Linked DNA regions of Oryctolagus cuniculus. The protein of the gene in region 3 binds, or shares a complex with, the protein of the main gene of each other region. Links are inferred from orthologs where the notes say so. Each region holds a gene or a part of one and is shown on either strand. Other genes may lie near its edges. The genes, in order: CHTOP, THOC7 and THOC3.

The links.
Region 1: THOC3 (region 3) and CHTOP share a complex: the UniProt entries of both Homo sapiens proteins name them as parts of the transcription/export (TREX) complex. The link is inferred for Oryctolagus cuniculus from reciprocal best matches to the Homo sapiens genes THOC3 and CHTOP.
Region 2: THOC3 (region 3) and THOC7 share a complex: the UniProt entries of both Homo sapiens proteins name them as parts of the transcription/export (TREX) complex. The link is inferred for Oryctolagus cuniculus from reciprocal best matches to the Homo sapiens genes THOC3 and THOC7.

What each region holds. Positions count from the first base shown.
Region 1 is NC_091438.1:44,670,406-44,677,761, reverse strand, and holds the start of CHTOP (chromatin target of PRMT1 protein), read left to right. Parts: upstream 1-2,687; 5' UTR 2,688-2,990; exon of another isoform or gene 2,991-3,003; intron 3,004-4,272; 5' UTR 4,273-4,289; coding exon 4,290-4,354; intron 4,355-5,677; coding exon 5,678-5,831; intron 5,832-7,356. Other genes in the region: S100A1 (protein S100-A1), read left to right, coding at 765-905, 1,374-1,517. UniProt on the Homo sapiens protein: Plays an important role in the ligand-dependent activation of estrogen receptor target genes. May play a role in the silencing of fetal globin genes.
Region 2 is NC_091441.1:85,861,699-85,868,418, forward strand, and holds part of THOC7 (THO complex subunit 7), read left to right. Parts: intron 1-1,381; exon of another isoform or gene 1,382-2,471; coding exon 2,472-2,589; intron 2,590-4,140; coding exon 4,141-4,268; intron 4,269-4,584; coding exon 4,585-4,671; intron 4,672-6,720. UniProt on the Homo sapiens protein: Component of the THO subcomplex of the TREX complex which is thought to couple mRNA transcription, processing and nuclear export, and which specifically associates with spliced mRNA and not with unspliced pre-mRNA.
Region 3 is NC_091437.1:62,176,589-62,182,820, reverse strand, and holds part of THOC3 (THO complex subunit 3), read left to right. Parts: intron 1-1,311; coding exon 1,312-1,473; intron 1,474-1,592; coding exon 1,593-1,693; intron 1,694-6,217; coding exon 6,218-6,232. UniProt on the Homo sapiens protein: Component of the THO subcomplex of the TREX complex which is thought to couple mRNA transcription, processing and nuclear export, and which specifically associates with spliced mRNA and not with unspliced pre-mRNA.

The DNA.
Region 1 (7,356 bases), on a different chromosome or scaffold from region 3:
TTCCCTTCCCATCCCATCGCCCATCCCCGAGGTGGGATGGTTTTACAGAGAAGTCAGAGGAAACAGCCTGGAGATCGTGGGAAGTGTGCCCCAGAGAAGCCCCAAGGACTCTGTTCAGGAGAATGAGCTGAAGGACCAAAGGGGGCCCAGCTGCTGACAGGTGGCTGGGAAGCAGTGAGACTCCCTGCCCAAGAGGCCTGGGGGCCCCCGAGCCGGCTGCCACTCCTGCCATCAGGTACCACCCAAGTACCAAAGAGACTACCAAACACTAAGGGTGGTGGCAGAGTAGGCTTTAGAGGAGACCCCAGCCCACCACCCCCCACAGAAGAGCTTAGCTGCACTCAGCAGGCAAGGTCCAGGGTAAAAATAGAAAACGGAGCCAGAGGAAGCCAGACTGGTCCTGTGACCATCCTGCCTGCCCCACCCTCAGCAGCCTCTGTCCAGGCGGCCAGGAGCCATTGCGAGTGTCCACTGCAGGCCTCTGGAGCCCACCAGCGCCAGCGGCTGTGTCTCTATGCCCCAACCTGGCTCTCTGGCTCGGCTACAGAGCACAGGTCTGATAATTTAGGTGTCAGGGTCTCCCTGCAAGGTACAAGTTCAGAGAAAGATAAGAGGCAACAGGACTCCAATCTCACAGCTGTTCTGAGCTGTGGGACCAAGGCCAGGCCTGAAGGCTTCCCTCACCCAAACCCCAGACACCCTAGACCTGGTCCCCAGCTCACTGCCTCGCTCTGGGGGGCCTGGGGGGTAGGTGCACTGCCACAATGGGCTCTGAGCTGGAGACGGCAATGGAGACCCTCATCAATGTGTTCCACGCCCACTCGGGCAAGGAGGGGGACAAGTACAAGCTGAGCAAGAAAGAACTGAAGGAGCTGCTGCAGACGGAGCTCTCCGGCTTCCTGGACGTGAGCATGGAGTGGGCGTCCGGGGCGGGGTGGGCGAGGGGTGAAGGGAGTGGGCACCTCCCTGTGGTCTCTCTCTCCACCCCGCCTCACCTCAGCCCAGCCATCTCTCTCCTCTCTCGTGCTTCTCTTCTGGGTTTTCCCAGGCTCCCCCACGCCCGGGTGAAGTCAAAACGCCTGGTTTATAGATCACCTGTTAAGTGCTAAGCCCTACATAGACTCATCGGTAATAAGGCTTCCGCAGTCTGGAAGGGAAAGACTGACACACCATTAACTCTGCCAGGTTAAGGATGCATTCTGTGGGCAGCAGGAGCCCACCAGTGTTTGAAGGGTTTGGAGAAGGGCAGCCGAGGAGACCCAGTTAGCCGTAGCTCTCCCGCTTGCTCATCTCCACCCCGTTCTTCTCCGTCACCACCCTCTGGCCCTGGACTCGGTGCTGGACACCTCTCCCGCTCTCTCCCCCCTCCACAGGCCCAGAAGGATGCAGATGCCGTGGACAAGGTGATGAAGGAACTGGACGAGGACGGAGACGGGGAGGTGGACTTCCAGGAGTACGTGGTGCTGGTGGCTGCTCTCACAGTGGCCTGTAACAACTTCTTCTGGGAGAACAGTTGAGCAGACAGCCCCAGAGGGCAGCGCCCTACCGCTCCGTCCCCCCAGACCTGCCCCTACACCCGGCTACCACCTCACACTCCCCCACACACCCAGGGCGCCAAGCAGCAGGCCCGCCCTGCAGCTCATCTCTCATTAAAGGCTCCTCTATTGCCAGCCGTCTGGTGTCTGTCTCCTGTGGGTCCGGAAGGGCAGCCCTGAGGGGTTTCGCTCCACTTATTTTGGAGGGAGGTCACGTGCATTCCATCTGCCTTAATGCTCAGTGGGGTTCCAGGTTCCAGCTGGAAGGGGAGACGTCTGCTTCCCAGCTGTAAAAACAGAAAAATCTCCTTTCAATCCTCAGCAGATATTTACAGGGGTCCTACCTTGTGCAGGAACTGGGGATACAGCAGTGAGCAAAATAAACACCATGGTCACCCTCACTGGGTGAAGTCCAGCAAGGAGAGAGGCCCACTAAAAATGCACACATACAACTCAGTGCCCAGAGCGAGGGTAGAGGAAGCCCCCACTGTGTGCTTTCTCTCTTTCCTCCAACGTTTGAGGACGTGATTGTGTGGCCATAAGGAAAATCCTTTCATAGGTCTGCACTAAATTCCCAGGGAGGGGAGGGGAAGGGGGATCCGGGACCTGATCAGAGGAGAGTTGAAAAACAGCCAAGTCAGGGAAGAGGAAAACATGGACGGGCAATGGAGGCTGCGGCGGATGGCAGGAGGTGTGCCCCCAGCACTGGCTTGCCCTGGCCTTTGCAGCACTTCACGACCCAAACAGCGAAGGGGCGCGGGGGAAAGCCACCAGTGCCAATCACCCGGCTCTGGCATTGCCAGAGACCAAAGCAGGTTCCGCTTTAAGATTTGTAAACATGATGCCTTAGCCAAGGGCGTGGGGAGAAAGGCCCGAAGGAACACGAACTCTTTCCTAACGGGACTAAAACCTCTCTTGGGAGCAGGGCCGCTGACAACTCCAGGAGGTAGCAGTTAATACCCGCTAGAATAGCGAAGCCACTAGCCACGCCCCGGGGGCGGAGCCATCTGTGTAACTCTAAAGCCCCTCCTTCCCACCCAGGGCTCCGCCCCCTAGCTCTGCGCAGGGCGTGACAAATCCCCGCCCCCTACTAGTGCGCGGATCCAACGTCTGACGCAATTGCGTCGGCGCCATTTTAGCCGGTCCCATGCCGCACTGGGCGTGGCGGCCATTTTGTTTTGGAGAGCGAGCGGGAGTTGGCGGCGGCAGCTGTGGTGGCACAGACTGAAGGCAGGGAAGGGCAGGCCGGGCGATCAGGCGGGTCGGCCAACGACACAGCCAGCCAACAGCCACGGACTAGCCTCGCAGTCTACCACTTAAGCATCTGACCCAACCGCCCATCTAATTAACCGGAGCCCCTCCACCGTCAATTACTGAGGTTCGGCCGGTCCCCGGCCCGCCCTGCCGCAGCCGTGCTGGCAGCCCCGGGAGGAGCACTGGCGTCCGTTTCCTTCGGTGCGTCTCTGTGGTGAGAGAAGGGGAGCGGAAGGAGCCGGCGGACGCGCATGGGGGGCGGTGGGCTGCGGGGACCGCGGGGGAGGGGGCGGGGCCGCGGAGGGGGGAGGGGCTGCGCCGGCCGCGACCCCGCGGCGGGGTTCACGGAGGCTGTCGTTGGGTACCGAGGAAAAGAAAGATCGTTGGACGAGTTGAGCAAAGTTGGCGGTCTTGACAGGGCTTTGAAGACTAGTGTTGGAAACAGTGGCGTGCTTAGGGTTAAGTTCTGTAGAGGGCTCCCTGGGAGCCAGCTCCCAGATGAATGCCCGTTTAGGGAACCTTTCCTGTTCCTTTCTCCAGATCCTTAGTCCGTTGTTAAGTTCTGACTTGGGAATAGGAAACCGATTTTGAGACTAGGCATGCCTGTATTTTCTTTCTAAACCGGCAGCTGTCAACCTCAGCTACTCATTAGAAGCACCTGGGTAGCTACCCCTCCCCCCACGCCCCTATTGATGAGCCCCAGACCTCCACCATCAGAGATTGCGGTTTGATCGGTCTGAGCCCAGGCATCTGTTTCTTGAAAGCCCCCTGTGGAAAAACAGGCTGAAAAGGACGAGTCTGGATCGAAAGCCAGACTCTCTTGCACCTTCTTGAGCTGTTTCTGCCATTTTGGACCATTTGGCAGATATTACATGCCTTTTGGCCTTGAAATTGAATAATTTCTCATGTAAACTTGAAGTGAGCTTCGATTTGAGGGTGCTTTTTAAAATTTTATAGAAAATTGAATTGAAAGACATTTTGGTGCAAAATAATTTTTGCATTCTATGCAGTCTTTTGTAGTATACGTTTCTATAAACTTTTTTTTTAAGCATTTGTGTATATGAAAGAGAGATCTTCCATCTGCTGGTTTACTCTCCAGATGGCCACAAAGGCCAGGTCTGGGCCAGGCTGAAGCCATTAACCAGGATCTCCATCCGGTTTTCCAACGGGTGGCAGGGATCAGATACTTCAGCCATCACCTGCCGCCTCCCAGGCCTGCAGGGAGCTATTCTGGAGGTGGAGTAGCTGAACCACAATGCCTGCCCCTCCAGAAACTTTTTCAGGATAGATCCCTTACATGCATAGATTCTAAAAAATTTCTTACCAAAGCAAAGTTACCTTTTAATTCCGTTTCCCATGAACTTTGAAGTACCCTCCCGTGTTCCTCAGGAGTCAGTGGTAAGGCTTTTTCGGTGGTTTGGGCCTTGTTCTGTATAAGGTGGCTGTTATTCTGACCTGCTCATTCTGCTGTTGTCCTTTGTAGATTCTCGGGATCTGAAGATGGCTGCTCAGTCAGCGCCGAAAGTTGTGCTAAAAAGCACCACCAAGATGTCTCTGAATGAGCGGTGAGGCAGCCAACAACAACTTCAGCTCCTTCCTAAGAAAACATTACTTAAATTGGCCCTGGGGTCCAATGCACAAAACAGTTGTAAGCTAAATATCAACAGAAGGCTACAGACCTCTGTTCTTAGTTACATCTAATGTGGTGCACAAAACAAATTGGGCGGTTGTTTCAAAACCCCTTATCAGTAGATTTTTATGTTAAGCTGTCTGAAATATTTATCCAGTGGGATGTATTTTAAAAAGACTCCTCACACCCTCCCTTTTCTTCAAGTTTTTTTGTTTTTGTTTTTGTTTTTGAACACGTTGATACAGGGGTTGTGCAGCATGGGAGCATGGGACCCTGGCTGCAGTAGGCTTGCTGCCTAGTCCAAGGCCAGCAGTGTTGCATCTGGCCTGTAAGAGGCAGGTAGCAAGCTGTGACTATGTCCAAAGGCCCTCGAATGTCATTCTTGGGCCTTGTAAGAGGCACTTGCTTTGCTCCATTTCACTTTTCTTTCCATTCTGCTTTTAGTTTGTTTTTGCTTTGGATTCTTTTACAGTTAAGTGTTCTTCTCTTCCATTCCATTAAACTTAACCATGACAAGAACAAAAAAGGAGTGTCTTCATGGGCCCTTAAATGATTGAATTAATCATTTCCAAAGATAACTGCTTGGAGACAGAAAAAGTGATCATTTGACACTAAGAAAAGTTAAGGTATTTAAGGCAGTTTCTATCTCTGAGAACTTTGCTCACTGAGTTACCTTTGAGCAGTGATTTTATTAAACCAGTGTTGGACCACTAAAAGGTTACAATGTCTCCTTTTGCCTTTTCTGGAGCCTATGTACTTCTCTCTTCAGATACACTAGTCCTCCATATCCACATGTTACTGAGTGACAAATATATTTAAAAATTGATGGCATTCCTATAACTTCTATGGCTATGGTGTTGTCATGGGTTTTGAAGGTGTTCTGGTCTCATATTTCTTTTCAAAAACCTCCAAGGTTTAAGCTTTCTTTGTTTGTCTTTGAAATTACATCTTCTGTCTCTTGTCATATCTGCTTATTGCGTGTTTTTCATACCTTCCACTTCTCTGAGAGCCATTACCTGAGCCCTTGTTATCACTTTGGATTGAATGTGCTGCACTTAGCTGCATTTCTGAGTTTCTGATTCTTGCAAGTTTGTCGAAACAGAGGAGTCTTTAACCCACTTCAGCTTTGATCTAAGTGTGCCACTTTACTTAAAAGTTCGTGGGATCTGGAGCTCCTGGTCTAGCAAGCCATGAAAATGCCAATAAATGTTTTGTAATAAAGCTTTTATTTAAACATCCATTTTGTTCGACCTTGAAGCTTTACTAATATGCTGAAGAACAAACAGCCGATGCCAGTGAATATTCGGGCTTCGATGCAGCAACAACAGCAGCTAGCCAGTGCCAGAAACAGAAGACTGGCCCAGCAGATGGAGAATAGACCCTCTGTCCAGGCAGCATTAAAACTTAAGCAGGTGAGAGAATGGGTCTTGATGCTCCAGAAGCAGCTGTGATCTAAGGCAGGCAGCCCACTGAGGCTGTCAGAACCTGATGGATGATTCCAAGGTGACTCAGGGCAAAAGCTGGAACTTCTCTGAAAGAGAAGTGCAGAGAATTCCAGCTCTGGCAGGTACTGATAAGTAACTTTTTCTTTATTGTCTTCTCTTCTAGGGAGTTTGCCATCTGTTTGACCCATTTGTGTTATCAATGACTAATAATTGCTTTTGTTTCTGGTCCTTTAGCCTTAAAGTAGATGAAAGGCCTTTTCCATGAAGAAAGTTTGTTTCTGTTTCGGATCATCTTTAAAACATCCTTTACTTACTGCTAAATGATAGATAAACTAGGGAAATAATTTTATTCTTTCGCCCCTCACACAGGAAATCTAAATGGCCCTAGTCAAAGGTAAAAGATACAGCAGAGTGACCCTCATGTCCACAGCACCTAAAATTATAAACAGTAAAGTAGAGCTAGAACACTGAGTAACTAAGAGTCAGTGGATTCTTTTTCAAATTTCCAGTAAATTGGGGGGCGGGGAGCTTAAAAACATGAGGAATAAACTTTAAATGGGGGGAAAAGAAAAATGTCGAGTAGGGATAATAGTTTTCAGATCTGAAATAAAACCTACTCTTTATTATTCATAGACTGTATGTGCAAGTCCGGACAGTGGCTGTGGAAGGATATGTCCAAGCTGTGGCTGGGCGTCTGGAGGGCGGTGCCATGCAACTGTAAGGACTTTAACTGGTAGCGCTGCATGGCTGTGCATAAATTCAGCAGTTAAATATAACTCCCTCCCACCCCCACCCTGAACCATTGGGCTCACTGACCAAAAATAAACAAGGCTTTCTGCTTCAGCTACCATAAGCCTTGGAAGTGATCCGATCTGTCCCTGGCTCAGGAAAGCAACAAAAGGCACCACCATTTTCCAAGAGTACATAAGAATTGCCGAAGAAAGCCTCTGACAGATCATTCCAAAGGACCTTTCAACAAGAAATTTTAGCTACAGGTGTGCAGAAGGTAGCTTCTAGTGTGGTGCTGTCCAGTATGGTGGCCACTAGCTACGTGTGGCTATTAAACTAAATGTGACTAGTACAAATGAGCTTAACTTTTCTTATTTATATTTAATTTAGATAGCCAGTGTGGCTAGTGGCTACCTTATAGCACAACTTTGTAAAAACTGGATGGTATAGTTGACATCTGTAAGTTCCCATCAGTGTTAGAAATCAGTCTTGGCGATAACTAAAGGTTGAAATGGGAGAACAGCTCAGCACTGAAAGCTTGGGAGAGTGGATATCCGCAGGTTAGCTGACTCATTAGGAAGAACTGGTGGGCCGGCGCCGCAGCTCACTAGGTAATCCTCCGCCTTGCGGCGCCGGCACCCCAGGTTCTAGTCCCGGTTGGGGCGCCAGATTCTGTCCCGGTTGCCCCTCTTCCAGGCCAGCTCTCTGCTGTGGCCAGGGAGTGCAGTGGAGGATGGCCCAAGTACTTGGGCCCTGCACCCCA
Region 2 (6,720 bases), on a different chromosome or scaffold from region 3:
ACAAATCAAATTTAGAAATATGTATTGAGCATCTGAAATGTGTAAGGCATTGTATGGGATGCTGAGGAGGAAGTAGAATGAACAAGACACAGGACAGGCTTTCGTGAATCTTTTCCCAAGTGGGAAATATGAGAATAGTCTGTAAATTTGGTTTCTTTTGCTTGTACAGTGTCCTAAATATTTTTCACAAACTTTTATAATTGGAGCATGATATGGTTACAAGTATATGAAAGTGCACAGATCACATGTATACAGCTGGAATGTTCACAAAATGTGTCTTAAAACATTTTTAGATACCAGACTTCAAAAATAAAATCTAGTATCTTCCTTCTCGGGGAATTCATCACCATCCCGCCCCGCCTACAGTTTCCCACAGATGTTATCTGCCTTTTGGGTGTTTGTTCTTGGTTTTTATTTATTTATTTGTGAAAGAGTTTTCCCCTCCATTGATTGAGTCCCCTAAATGCCCACAGCAGGCAGAGCTGGGCCAGGCTTAAGTCAGGAGCCTAGAACTCAACCAGGTCTCCCACATGGGTGGCAGGGACCTATCTGTTGGAGCCATCATCCACTGCCTCCCGGGATCTGCATTCGCAGGAGGCTGGAGTCAGGAACCTGAGTCAGAACTTGATGTGGCTCCAAAATTAGATGCAGTTGTCGGAACTGCTAAGTTAAATGCCCACTCGTCTCTGTGTTTTGAATGCATAAAGCAGGAGGCCCTAGAATCTGGAAAGAACATTGGGTTTGAGGAGACTTGAAAAAAAGGCAGAAAAAGACCAACAAAGGAATTATTGAAGTGCACCAGTGCCACCGGATTACCTCAACCAATGGATGTTTCCTTTTATTTTAATAACTTAAGACATTTGTAGTACAGACAGCAAAACTAAAACCAGTTCATTTTGTGCATTTTTATCTTATCAAGCTCTGTTTTATGTGTCAGTTTCTCCAAAAAACATTGGTGATTTAAATCCAAAAAGCATTCATCTGTGTTATTAAAATGTAAACTGTAAACACCTGATGAATCTAGCGTCAGCAATCTTCCAAAGCCTTGACTCTGACAACCAAACCCAGCTCTAAAAATGTATATCTGATGTTATCACAGAATATATTTTAAAACTGGAACCATCTGCCTTCCAAAGTTTCTCTCTATTGCACCTGCGCTCAAAAATACTTCTGCCTACACACAGGAACTGTTGTTTAAAGATTTTGCTGTTGATTCATCATGTAGGCTCTCCAGGAATTGTTCACACTTAATGTATTTTTTGAAACTGTGCATGCCTATGGTTCAAAAAGAAAAACAAAAACAAAAAGACAACCAGCGACTACAAACGCATTTCAGAAAATTTTGTCTTTTCTCACTTCTTTTTGTCTTCCCTCTCATTAGAAAGAACCTCTGAAACCAGGCTTTTGAGGATCATTCCAGAGATATTCTCTGAATACACACATGCAGGTGTAGTCACGCACGCCATGCAGTGCCAACCCCTTTTCTGCAAGTGTGGTGGCGTACTTGCACCTGTTTTGTTTTCATTGTAACATATTTAAGGGGATTTTTTTTTTCTGGTGTCAGTATATGTCTGTACTTTTCATTACACACTCTTGGAGTATATGAAGGATTCATAATTTTAACCAGTCTCTTAACTGGTGAGTGTGGAGGTTTGCAGTCTTTTTACTACAAACAGCACTGTTAAAACATCCCTTTTATCTGTCTGTGCCGAGTACGCTTATGTCTAGAGGATGACTTCCTAGAATTGGAATTACGGAGTCAGGAATGCGTGTGCACTTTAATTTTGCCTGTTATTGTCCAGTGACCCCGGATGAGTGTACCAGTTTGCATTCCATTAGCATATGTAAGTGCAGTTTCCAAACACCCTTGTTAGCACTCTTGCTATCAGGTCTTTGATCCTTGCCAACATGATAAGATTAAAAAATGGTATCTTACCTTGGAATCGGTTTGCCTTTCTCTTGTTATAACCCAGTATTATTTTGTTCAGGCAAGATTAGTGGCTCAGGGCTGCCAGGCAGGCAGATTGGGGCCCTGCTTGTTACTAGTCATTATCATTTGCACTGCCTTTCTATTCCTTTTTTGCTTTTTCTTTTCCTTGGGGCAAAAGGAAGGCAGTGTTTAAAGAGAGAAAGACAGGGTCTCCCACGTGGATGGCACGTGGCCCAAACACCTAGGCCATCCTCTGATGCTTTTCCCAGGCCATTAGCAGGGAGCTGGATTGAAAGTGGAGCAGCCAGGACACAAACTGGCATGCATATAGGATGCCGTTGTCACAGAGAGCAGCTTTACCCACTGTGCCACAAGACTGGCCCTACCATTTTTATTTTTAAATGTACAGTTCAGTGGCTTTAAGTACATTTATATTTCAGTGATTGACTTTTGAGTGAATATGAGTCATGACATTGGTTGCCCCTTGAAAGTCCCGAGGAGCCAGATGGTCACTGATTCATACTGGCCTTCTTTCCCCCAGACGAAGTCATACGGAAGCGTCTCCTCATTGATGGAGATGGAGCAGGAGATGACCGGAGAATTAATCTGCTGGTGAAGAGTTTCATTAAGTGGTGCAACTCTGGATCTCAGGAAGAGGGGTATTTCAATTCATTGTTGTTTCTCTGCCAATGTTCTGATGTGATTTTGTTAAGGTATTGTTAATATTTCACATTTTCACTCACCTTAGATGTCCACTTGAGTCAAATTTTGTTTACTCAAGAGTGGATTTTTCTGGCCTTCTCTTCATAGTCCTCCTTTATATTATTTTTTAATGCTTATTTATTTATCTTTATCTGCTGGTTCACTCCCCAAATGCCCCCTACAGCTAGTGTAGGGCCAGGCTGAAGCCAGGAGGAAGCAGGGGCTCAAGTCATCATCTACTGTCTTCCCAAGTGCATTAGCAGGAAGCTAGATTGGAAATGGAGGAGCCAGGACTTGAACCGGCACTCCAGGGTGGGGTGCTGGTGTCTAACCCTGCTCCACAGCAACTGCCTCTGCCACCTGTATATTTATTAAAACATGCAGAAGGCAAATTGGTAAGAAGAAAATTAAACTTAGGCTCATTAATTTGGTCACTTTTAACAGTTAAGTATTTAGCAAGACAAAATAAATGAAATTTTCTTATCATTAACAGAAAGTTGCCATAGAATGTATATATTAACATATATTAAAATATAGAATATATGTAGTCTTTTTTAGCATAGAAAAATTTTCCTTCTTTGAATTCAATAATTAATATATTTTCTAAAGTATTTTTGCTTATTTTTAAAGATTTCATTCATTTATTTGAAAGGCAGAGGTACAGAGTAAGAGACAGAGAGATTTTTCATCTGCTGGTTCACTCCCTGAATTGCTGTAATAGTTAGGGTTGGGCCAGGCCAAAACTAGGAGCCAGGAACTCCATCCTGTTCTCTCACATGGGTATAGACACCGTAGCAGTTGGGCCATCATCCTCGGTTTTCCCAGATGCATTATCAAGGAACTGGATCAGAAGTAGAGCAGCCACGACTCAAACCATTACCCATATGGAACATCAGCATCGTAAATGGCAGCTTTACCTGCTATGCCACAAGGCCAGCCATGCAAATAGTTGTTTGAAATAAGCCTGTATTGATAAGATCAACATTTTCATCTTGGCATTTGTAACCAAACCAACTTATAAATTCGAGTACTATTAGGAAAATAAAAACATAAGGAGCAGGAACTCAGGGTGCAGTTGGTTAACCTGATGCCTGTAATATCCCATATGAGTGCCAGTTCAAGTCCTGGCTGCTCCACATCTGATCCGGCTTCCTCCTAATGCACCCGGGAAAGCAGCAAAAGATGGCCCAACTACCTGGGTCCCTGCCACCCATCTGGGACACTCATATGGAGTTCAGGACTTCTGGCTTTGGCCTGGCGATTGTGGCCATTTGGGGAATGAAATAGCAGATCAAAGATTTCTCTCTGTTACCCTCTCTCTGTAACTCTGCCATTCAAGTAACTAAATAAATCTTAAAAAAAAGAAAAAAAAAGGAACAGATACTCTAAATTATTTTAAATAAAATAAATAATTTTCTCAGAACTTGGTCTAATTTCATTAACAAGTCTTTGCCTGCAGTTTTGGCAATTCAAAAACCTCTTTGTCCTGTCTCTCTGTTTTTCATTAGATACAGCCAATACCAACGTATGCTGAGCACACTGTCGCAATGTGAATTTTCAATGGGCAAAACATTACTGGTATATGATATGAATCTCAGAGAAATGGAAAATTATGAAAAAATTTATAAAGAAATAGGTAAGGAAAGTTGAAGTGATTATTATTTCTTTGTAAATGTGTTTTATGACCTAAAGAAAACACTATTTGCAATAACTGTTTTGATTGATGGTAAAAGAATAATTATCATTATCATATTAATAAAAATAATACCGTAAGTGTTAGCTACAAAAAGCTGTATTCTAAAATGATACCATATTTTAGGTTTAGCTATTATTTTAAATGCCGGTGTGTGTTCTATTAGCAGTGGAACTTATGTAGAAGCACATTTTAAAATTGAAAATGGATTGAAATTATACATGCTTTTATAACTATGTTATAAAACCATTTTGTATAGAATGTAGCATTGCTGGAGCACATGAAAAAATTGCTGAGTGCAAAAAACAGATTCTTCAAGCAAAACGAATACGAAAAAATCGCCAAGGTAAGGGTTTTGAGGGATTTATTGTGCACATACTTTATTAATGACTAATATGTTGTACAGTTTTTAATATTGTAAAATCTGCAGCTAAAGTATAAAAAGAAATTAGGAATTCAGTCCTTTAATACAGTATTATTCTTTAATATGGAGAAGGAAGTCTTTGATTAAAGAAAGTTATTACTGAATTTGTGTTAATTGTCCAAGTATGCCTTAAGTATTTTTACTGTTTTCATACCTCTTTGCTGAAATAATGTTATGGTTAATCAATGAAGGTGATTTACATCAGTACAATAGATTTAGAGGGTTTTTTTATTATTATTACTTTTAAAATTTATTTGTAAGAGTGACAGGGGAAAAGAGAAATCTTCTGTCTGCTGGTTCGGCCCTGAAATGGAAGCAGCAGAAGGGCTGGGCCAGGCCATCAAACCTCCCACGTGGGTGGCAGGGGCACAAACTCTGGAGCCGTCATCTGCTGCCTTTCAAGCACATTAGTGGATGACTGGACCAGAAGCAGAGCACTGGGACCCAGACCAGTGCTCAGGTAGGGGATGCAGGTATCCCAAGCAGCCTAAACTGCTGTGTCACAATTTTATTTACTTAATGAAGCAACTTTTAAAAAAAATGAGGGGCCAGCATTGTGGTACAGTGAGTTAAAAATCTGTTTATGATACGGGATGTTTACGATAGCACTGGATCAAGTCCCGGATGCATCCGATTCCAATCCAGCTTCCTGCTAATTTGTACCTGGGAAGGCAGCTAATGATGGTCCACATACTTGGGCCCGTGCCACCACCTGGGAGACTAGGATGGAGTTTCTGGCTCTGCGCTTCAGCCTGGCCCAGCTCTACATCTGGGGAGTGAACCAGTGGACAGAAGATCTCTTTCTCTCTGTCATTCTGCTTTTCAAATAAATCTTTAAAAAAAAAAAAGGAAAGTAAGATACAATAAGTTTTTATTAAGTACACTGCAAGCATTTACAGGCTTTTAATATTTATAAGAAAATTAAATGTAATCTTTTTCTAATTTTGTTTTTTTTTTTAAATTGGAGTATGTCCTTAGAGTTTATAAAAGATATTTGAAAATAATTTTAATGATACGGCATTGCTCTTTCTATAATGTATATTGGAAAAAATAAAGATAAAATGTATAATTACATCTATGACATACATATGGAAACTAGAAGGAAATTAGAATATTATTCATTAATTTGGGGAGGTGTTTTTATGCCTTAAGTTCTTTTCATTTTTGTTTTGTTTTATTTTACACTGACCCTATATTATTTTGTAAGTAAAAAAAAAAATTAAATAAAAAGCCTCACTTTATTGAATTAGTATGCTGAGTTCCAACACAATGAACTTTATTTTTTAATGAACTAATCAGGATAATTTTTTCTTTTTAAAAGTTAGGTTTTGTGAGTCTAAAATGTATATGATGACATTTCAATGGCCAGTTTACTATGAGATATATGTATTTAATAATATCAATTCTAAAATCATTTAAAAATATATTCAGGAAGTGGTTTTGTTTTGTTTTGTTTTTGTTTTTGTTTTTTGGTTAATAAGGATTCTAAGAGGATCCTCCATTTCTTCTTTCGAAAGAAAGATTACCAGGAACTACATGACTTACCCTGGAGGCCTTAGTGAAGCAGAAACAAGGGCCTGAATTTTAAATTATTTCTTAGCTTCTGAAATCAAAATGAATGAGAAGTATATTTGCTGTTGACTAAGTTAATGTTGGGAAATATTTACCTCACTGTATTGTTATATTTGTCCTCCTCCGTCTCTCCTTCCCCTCCTCGTTCCCCTCCTCCTCTTACTCTCCCTGGTGTTCCGACCCCCACTTCCTTCCTCCGCCTCCTCCACTTCTCTCCCCCTCCTCCTTCTCCTTCTCCTTCTTCTTCCTCTTCATCCTCCTCCTCATACTCCTCCCTCCTCCATCATTCCTCTTCTGGGTAGATAGTGCATATAGAATCAGCCCGCTTGACGATTCGCTGATCATTTATGCATATGCTGACCTCTTATATTCCTTCTAGAAAATAGAAATTAAAAACAG
Region 3 (6,232 bases):
CACAGTGACGCCCATTGTTGATTTAACAATTGACACTCTTGTTTATGGCATCAGTAATCACCCTAGGCTCTTGTCTTGAGCTGCCAAGGCTATGGAAGCCTCTTGAGTTCACAAACTCCGATCTTATTTAGACAAGGTCATAGTCAAAGTGGAATTTCTCTCCTCCCTTCAGAGAAAGATACCTCCTTCTTCGATGGCCCGTTCTTTCCACTGGGATCTCACTCGCGGAGATCTTTCACTTAGGTCATTTTTTTTTTTTTTTTTTTTTTTTTTTTTTTTTTTTTGCCAGAGTGTCTTTGCTTTCCATGTAAAGGAGTACATTTATCAGAAGGATAAGAGGGTGGGCATTTGGCCCAGTGGAAACTGGTTAAGACACCCATATACAGTATCGGAGAGCCTGGGTTCAAGTCCTGACGCCACCCTTTTTTTAAAAAAATATTTATTTATTTGAGAGGCGGAGGGGGGGGTCTTCCATCTGCTGGTTCACTTCTCAGATGCAATAGCTGGAGCTGCGCCGATCCGAAGCCAGGAGCCAGGAGCTTCTTCTGGGTCTCCCGTGTGGGTGCAGGGGCCCAAGGACCCAGGCCATCGCAGAGAGCTGGATGGGAAGTGGAGCAGCCAGGACTCAAAACTGGCGCCCATATGGGATGCCGGCACCACAGGTGGCAGCTTTACCCGCTACGCCACAGTGCCGGCCCCCTGACTCCACTCTTGATCCCAGCTTCTTGCTAAGGTGCACCTCAGGAGACAGCAGGTTATATTGCTCAAATAGTTGGGTTCCTGACAGTGGCATGGGCAACCTGAACTGAGTTCTTGGTTCTTAGACTCAGCCATTGAGGGTGTTTGGGGAGGGAGCCCAGGGGATGGGAGTGCCTGTTCCCTCTCTGTCTCTCTCCACCTCTCAAAACATACGGGTGCTTTAGTGTGCTTCTTGTATTTATATGTGGTAGTCTTGGTGGATAGAGAAATGCAACTCATACTTTCTTGCTTCTGTTGGTCCGTTTTCTTTTGACATAAAATGTTGCTGTCAAAAAGTCGGATGATATTCTAGTATTCTCTTTCTTTGAAGGCAGGTAATTTTTCTAGTCTATCTTGCTGTGAGAGGGGCTGGATTCACATTCTCAGGGAGGCCTTGTGCTCGTCCAGTATGTGGTTTGAATCCTTGTAGTTCTGGAAAGCTTTCTTTCTTGAGTTACAGCTTCTGGAACTATTCAGTTCCCTCGGTTGCCGCTCCGCCTCCGTGTTTCCTGTTGCTGTCTTAGAGCCGCAGTGCCCTTCTGCAGTGTGACTGCTGCGTGTTTTGTTCCTCAGCTACCCGGAGCTGAAGCCTGTGCAGTCCATCAATGCCCATCCCTCCAACTGCATCTGCATCAAGTTTGACCCCATGGGGAAGTACTTCGCTACAGGGAGTGCAGACGCTTTGGTCAGCCTGTGGGATGTGGACGAGTTAGTGTGTGTCCGGTGCTTTTCCCGGTAAGCGATTCTGCCAGCACTTCCCTGGCTGGGTGAATTAGCCGATTTCATCCTGGGTGGGAGTGTAGCCTCCTCTTGGTGGGTGATTCTGCTGTCTGTCTGTCTGCCCTGTGCTGTAGGCTGGATTGGCCCGTGAGGACTCTCAGTTTCAGTCACGATGGGAAAATGCTGGCGTCTGCATCGGAAGATCATTTTATCGACATCGCTGAAGTAGAGACAGGTAATGCAGCAGGCACGCTGTGTCTCATCCCTGACCGTCAGGACTTCTCCTGGCTCTGCATATCACTGCTTCTCTGGCATTACCAGCTCTGAATTTGTCTCTTAAGATCAGTCTGTATGTTAGGACTGCCACCGCCAGGCCATGAGAGAGCAGAGGGTTCGGAAAGAAACAGGTCTGAAGGAGAGTGATTTAGGAAAATATTTCACATTGTATCAGCTTTTAATTCTTCCATTATGATGCAGTTTTTAGAATTCAGAAAATAGGAGGAAGAAGAAAGCATGCCCTGTGTCCCACCATCTAAATACACCCCTTTAAAACATCGGGTATGTTTCTCTCTGTGTTTACATGGAAGGTTAAAAAAGAAAGCCTTTTTAAAGATAATTTCAGGAATTACCAAAGTTTTTGTTTGAAAAACAACAAAACCTGTTAAAGATAGGGAAATAAGAAGAGTATTCATTTTACAAAATGATTCCCTTTCAATTTGTGTTTAAATGTGGCTGTATTGTTTTTAGAGACAAGTGACAGTTCAGAACTGTAGAGGAAACTTCCAAGAAGAAAGTAAAGCACTTGAAATTCCACCGTGTAGAGAGGGCTGCAGTGATGCTGCCGTTACCACGCTGGGAGCGCGGTGGCCGGGCAGGGCCTCTCTGCCGCCCTGCATCTGCACGGTGCAGTCAGAGGCACTCTGCTGCTGCGCTGGGACCTGCTGTCCGCCTGGCTCCCGGCAGGGCGTCAGCTTCTGCCCAAGGCGGTGGCACCTGAATTCCACCTGGTCACTTTGAACAGGGTGTCGAACTCCATTGTACCAGAATTTGCTTAACTCTTCCTGTCTGGTGGCCTCTGGCCCTTGCGCTGCTGTCAGTGATGAGGGGAGGAGCATCGGTCACATCCGTCCCGTCCGTCCCGTGCTTCATGTTGCACGTGGGAGCTGCCTTCTGAGCGCCGGGCTGGGTTGCTGCATCCTTGGTGCTCACGTTTTGTGGAGGTCCAGTCTGCCATGCACAAAGGTGGTTTCAGTGTGGTCTTAGAGGCGTGCAGGGATGTGTGTGTGCTTCCACCGCTGTGTGAGTTTCTTTTACCTGGTAGGGGTAATGCATGATTTCATTCACACGCACCCTTTCAGGAATATATATCAGATGCAGCTGTATTACTTTTTCTAACTAGTTCAGCAAAATGCCTTTTACACTTGATCTTAGCCAAAAGGCCGAGAAGCAATAGCAAACTACTTTCTAACATTTAAAAAATTTTCTCTGTAACCCAGGTTAAAACTTAAAAGCAAAACAATTACTGAAGGAAAACACAATTATATTCTTTACATTATAGTAACGGTACATGGGAAGCGGTCTAAATTTTCCCTGTGAAGGGAATAATTGGGTTGTGACACAGTCGTATCACGGTGCACCTAGCTGTGTATGTGCTGAAGTGGCAGACCTGCAAGTCGTGTTGCTGACTGAGCAAAGCAGGTTGGCCGGGCTGTGCTTGAGTTGTGTTCCTGTGCAGGTAAAGAGCTAAAGTTGAATCGACAGAACAACTTTTGGAAGAATTTATATTGTTCTTAGAAAGTTGAGAGAAGATTGCAATAGGGAAAAGGGTCAATTGTAAATTGTTCATTTAAATATTATTACTGAAACTGAGTAAACAAAATGAAAGGTTGAGTTCCTTCATTAGCCTGGGCACATTTCGAGGACACAGGAAGCACACGTGGTCAGGGGCTGCAGTGTTGGACAGATGGAACTGTCCAAGTAGGTTCCATTGCGATTTCTGTTGTGGAGCACTGCTTTCATACCCTGGAACCCTGACTTTTATGCAGTAGGCATATATTTGCGAATTAAGAGTGATAGGTGCTCATTATAGAGTAGTTGGAAAATGCTGGAAATACAGAAAAGAAATTAGCCGTCACTCATAGGTCTGTAATTAGGAAATAATCATTGCTGATATTATGATATATTTTCTTCAGGTATTTTTCTTCTTTAAAAAAAAGGCATCTTGCTTGCTTGCTTATTTACTTATTTTTGAGAGACAGACAGAGATCTTCCATCTCCCCAAATGCTCACAATAGCTGGGCTTGGACTAGGCCAAAGTGAGGAGACAGGGACTCTGGGTCTCCCACAACCCAGATGGCAGGAATCCAACTACTTGGGCCTTCCCAGGGTGCATGTTAGCAGGAAGCTGGACTCAGAAGCAGATCTGGGACTGGAACCCAGGCCCGCCAGTATGTGATCTGGGCATCTCAAGTGGTATCGTAAGTGCTACACCATGTTTCCACCTTGTACTTATTTTTTTGAGAGCCAGAGAGACAGAAACAGACAGAGCTCACATTTGCTGGTTCATTTCCCAAATGTTTGCAGAGGCTGGGGCTGGCCTAGGCTGAAGCCTGGAGCTTGGAGTCTGGAACTCAGTTTACATCTCCCTTGTGCTTGGCAGGGACCCAGTCACTTGAGCCATTATTTGCTTGGGTGTGCTTTAGCAGGAAGCTGGCATTAGGAATGGAGCCAAGATGCTAACCCAGGCTTTCATATGGGCTGTGGCATCCTAAGCTACACCTGAATTGTGAGGCCAAACACTGTACCCTTTTAGGGCCTCTTTTTCCCTCTCTATTTGTATTTTTTGCTGTTGGAGTCGTGAGACACAATTTTGCATCTAAGAGTTTACAGGCATATTTTTAATGGTTCAATTTAAAACCAAGAAAAATTCATTTTATTCCTGATATCATATTTACCAGAAGCTCATTTTAAAATAATCCAGCTATTTTAGCATTTGAGACATACCATAACTCTGCATCTGTTTGTCTAGACTTCGGTGGTCTGAAATAGAAATGTGATAGTAATAGTAAGAGCACTGTAATTCAGAGATGAAGCTCTGATACCTTATCAAGGTGCTTACGCGTGTGAAGCCACGTGGTTACTTGGGAAACATTTTAGAAGGCCTCTTCAAGTCTGGTTTGGTTTTTTTGAACTGCACAGACTTCTTTATTTTAGCCAATCCGATAACAAAGGACATGGAGTTAAAGGTCTCAAGAGAAATAAAAGAGATGTAGCAGCCGCAGAAGCACTCTTTATGTCTGTGTGAGTCAGACGTTTGTTCAGACAAAGCTGCAGACAGCCAGATGCTGGCATTGTGGAGAATTTCTGCTAGGGAAAACGTGACCTGTCCCCGGAGCAGAGTTCTGTAAAGTGTGTTATGTATTTATATATGTCTAAATACCCACAAATGAATATAGATATATATTTAATAGCTTTATTGAGATGTAATCTGCCTACCATAGAGTTGATCAGTTTGAAGTATACTGTTTCATGTGTGCTGCCTTTATTTATTTATTTATTTATTTATGTTTTTTTGTTTTTTTTTTGACAGGCAGAGTGGACAGTGAGAGAGAGAGAGAGAGGTCTTCCTTTGCTGTTGGTTCACCCTCCAATGGCCGCCGCGGCCGGTGTGCTACAGCCCACGCACCGTGCTGATCCGATGACAGGAGCCAGGTACTTCTCCTGGTCTCCCATGGGGTGCAGGGCCCAAGCACTTGGGCCATCCTCCACTGCACTCCCTGGCCACAGCAGAGAGCTGGCCTGGAAGAGGGGCAACCGGGACAGAATCCGGCGCCCTGACCGGGACTAGAATCCGGTGTGCCAGCGCCGCAAGATGGAGGATTAGCCTAGTGAGCCGCGGCGCCGGCCGTGTATATATTTTTTTAAAAATATATTTATTTGAAAGGCAGAGTGACAGGGAGAGGGAGAGAGAGAGATCTTCTGCCTACTGCTGGTTCACTCCCCGAATGGCTGCAATGGCCAGGGCTGGACCAGGCCAAAGCCAGGAGCCAGGAGCTTCTTCCGGATCTCCCGGGTGCCAGGGCAGGGATCCCAAGTACTTGGGCCATCTTCCACTGCATTTCCCAGGTACATTAGTAAGGAGCTGATTGGAAATGGAACAGCCTGGACTCAAACCAGTGCTCATATGTGATGCTAGCATCACAGGCAGCACCATGGCTCCGACCCCTGTATTTTTATGTTAATACCAAACCAAAGTGTAAGCATTTTACTGTGTTGATTGTAACCCTGATAAAAAGTTAATCAGAACTAGAAGAATAGATCATGTGTAATTTCAATAAGTTGGAGAGAGAAAGCTTTTGGAAAAGAAAAACCCATTTGGGAGGCATCGTTCAGTAGGAAGGTCTGTGGCTGTGGAAACAGACTGATTGTGTGCTGTGCGTGCTGCTTGCTCGCAGGGCGGCTGTGCTGTCATTCTATGCGGCGAGGTTTCAGATTCTGTGCCTTGCTGGGTCCCTTGTGTTTCCTGAACTCTCTGGTGCTTGAGGTGTTGAGCGAAGGAAGCTGCTCGCGTTCTGAGGCCAGGAGGTGCCTGCCCTCGCATCCTGCTGCCCTGTGGCTCTGCCTCAGGGTCCTCCTCCGGCAGGTGACCTGGTGACCATGCCTGTCGCAGAGGGGGACGTGGACTAGAGTTCACCTTGGTAAGTACTGAGTGTCGCCTCTACTGTTAACTCACCGAGTTCTTCTCTGTTGGCTCCTGTAGGGGACAAGCTGTGGG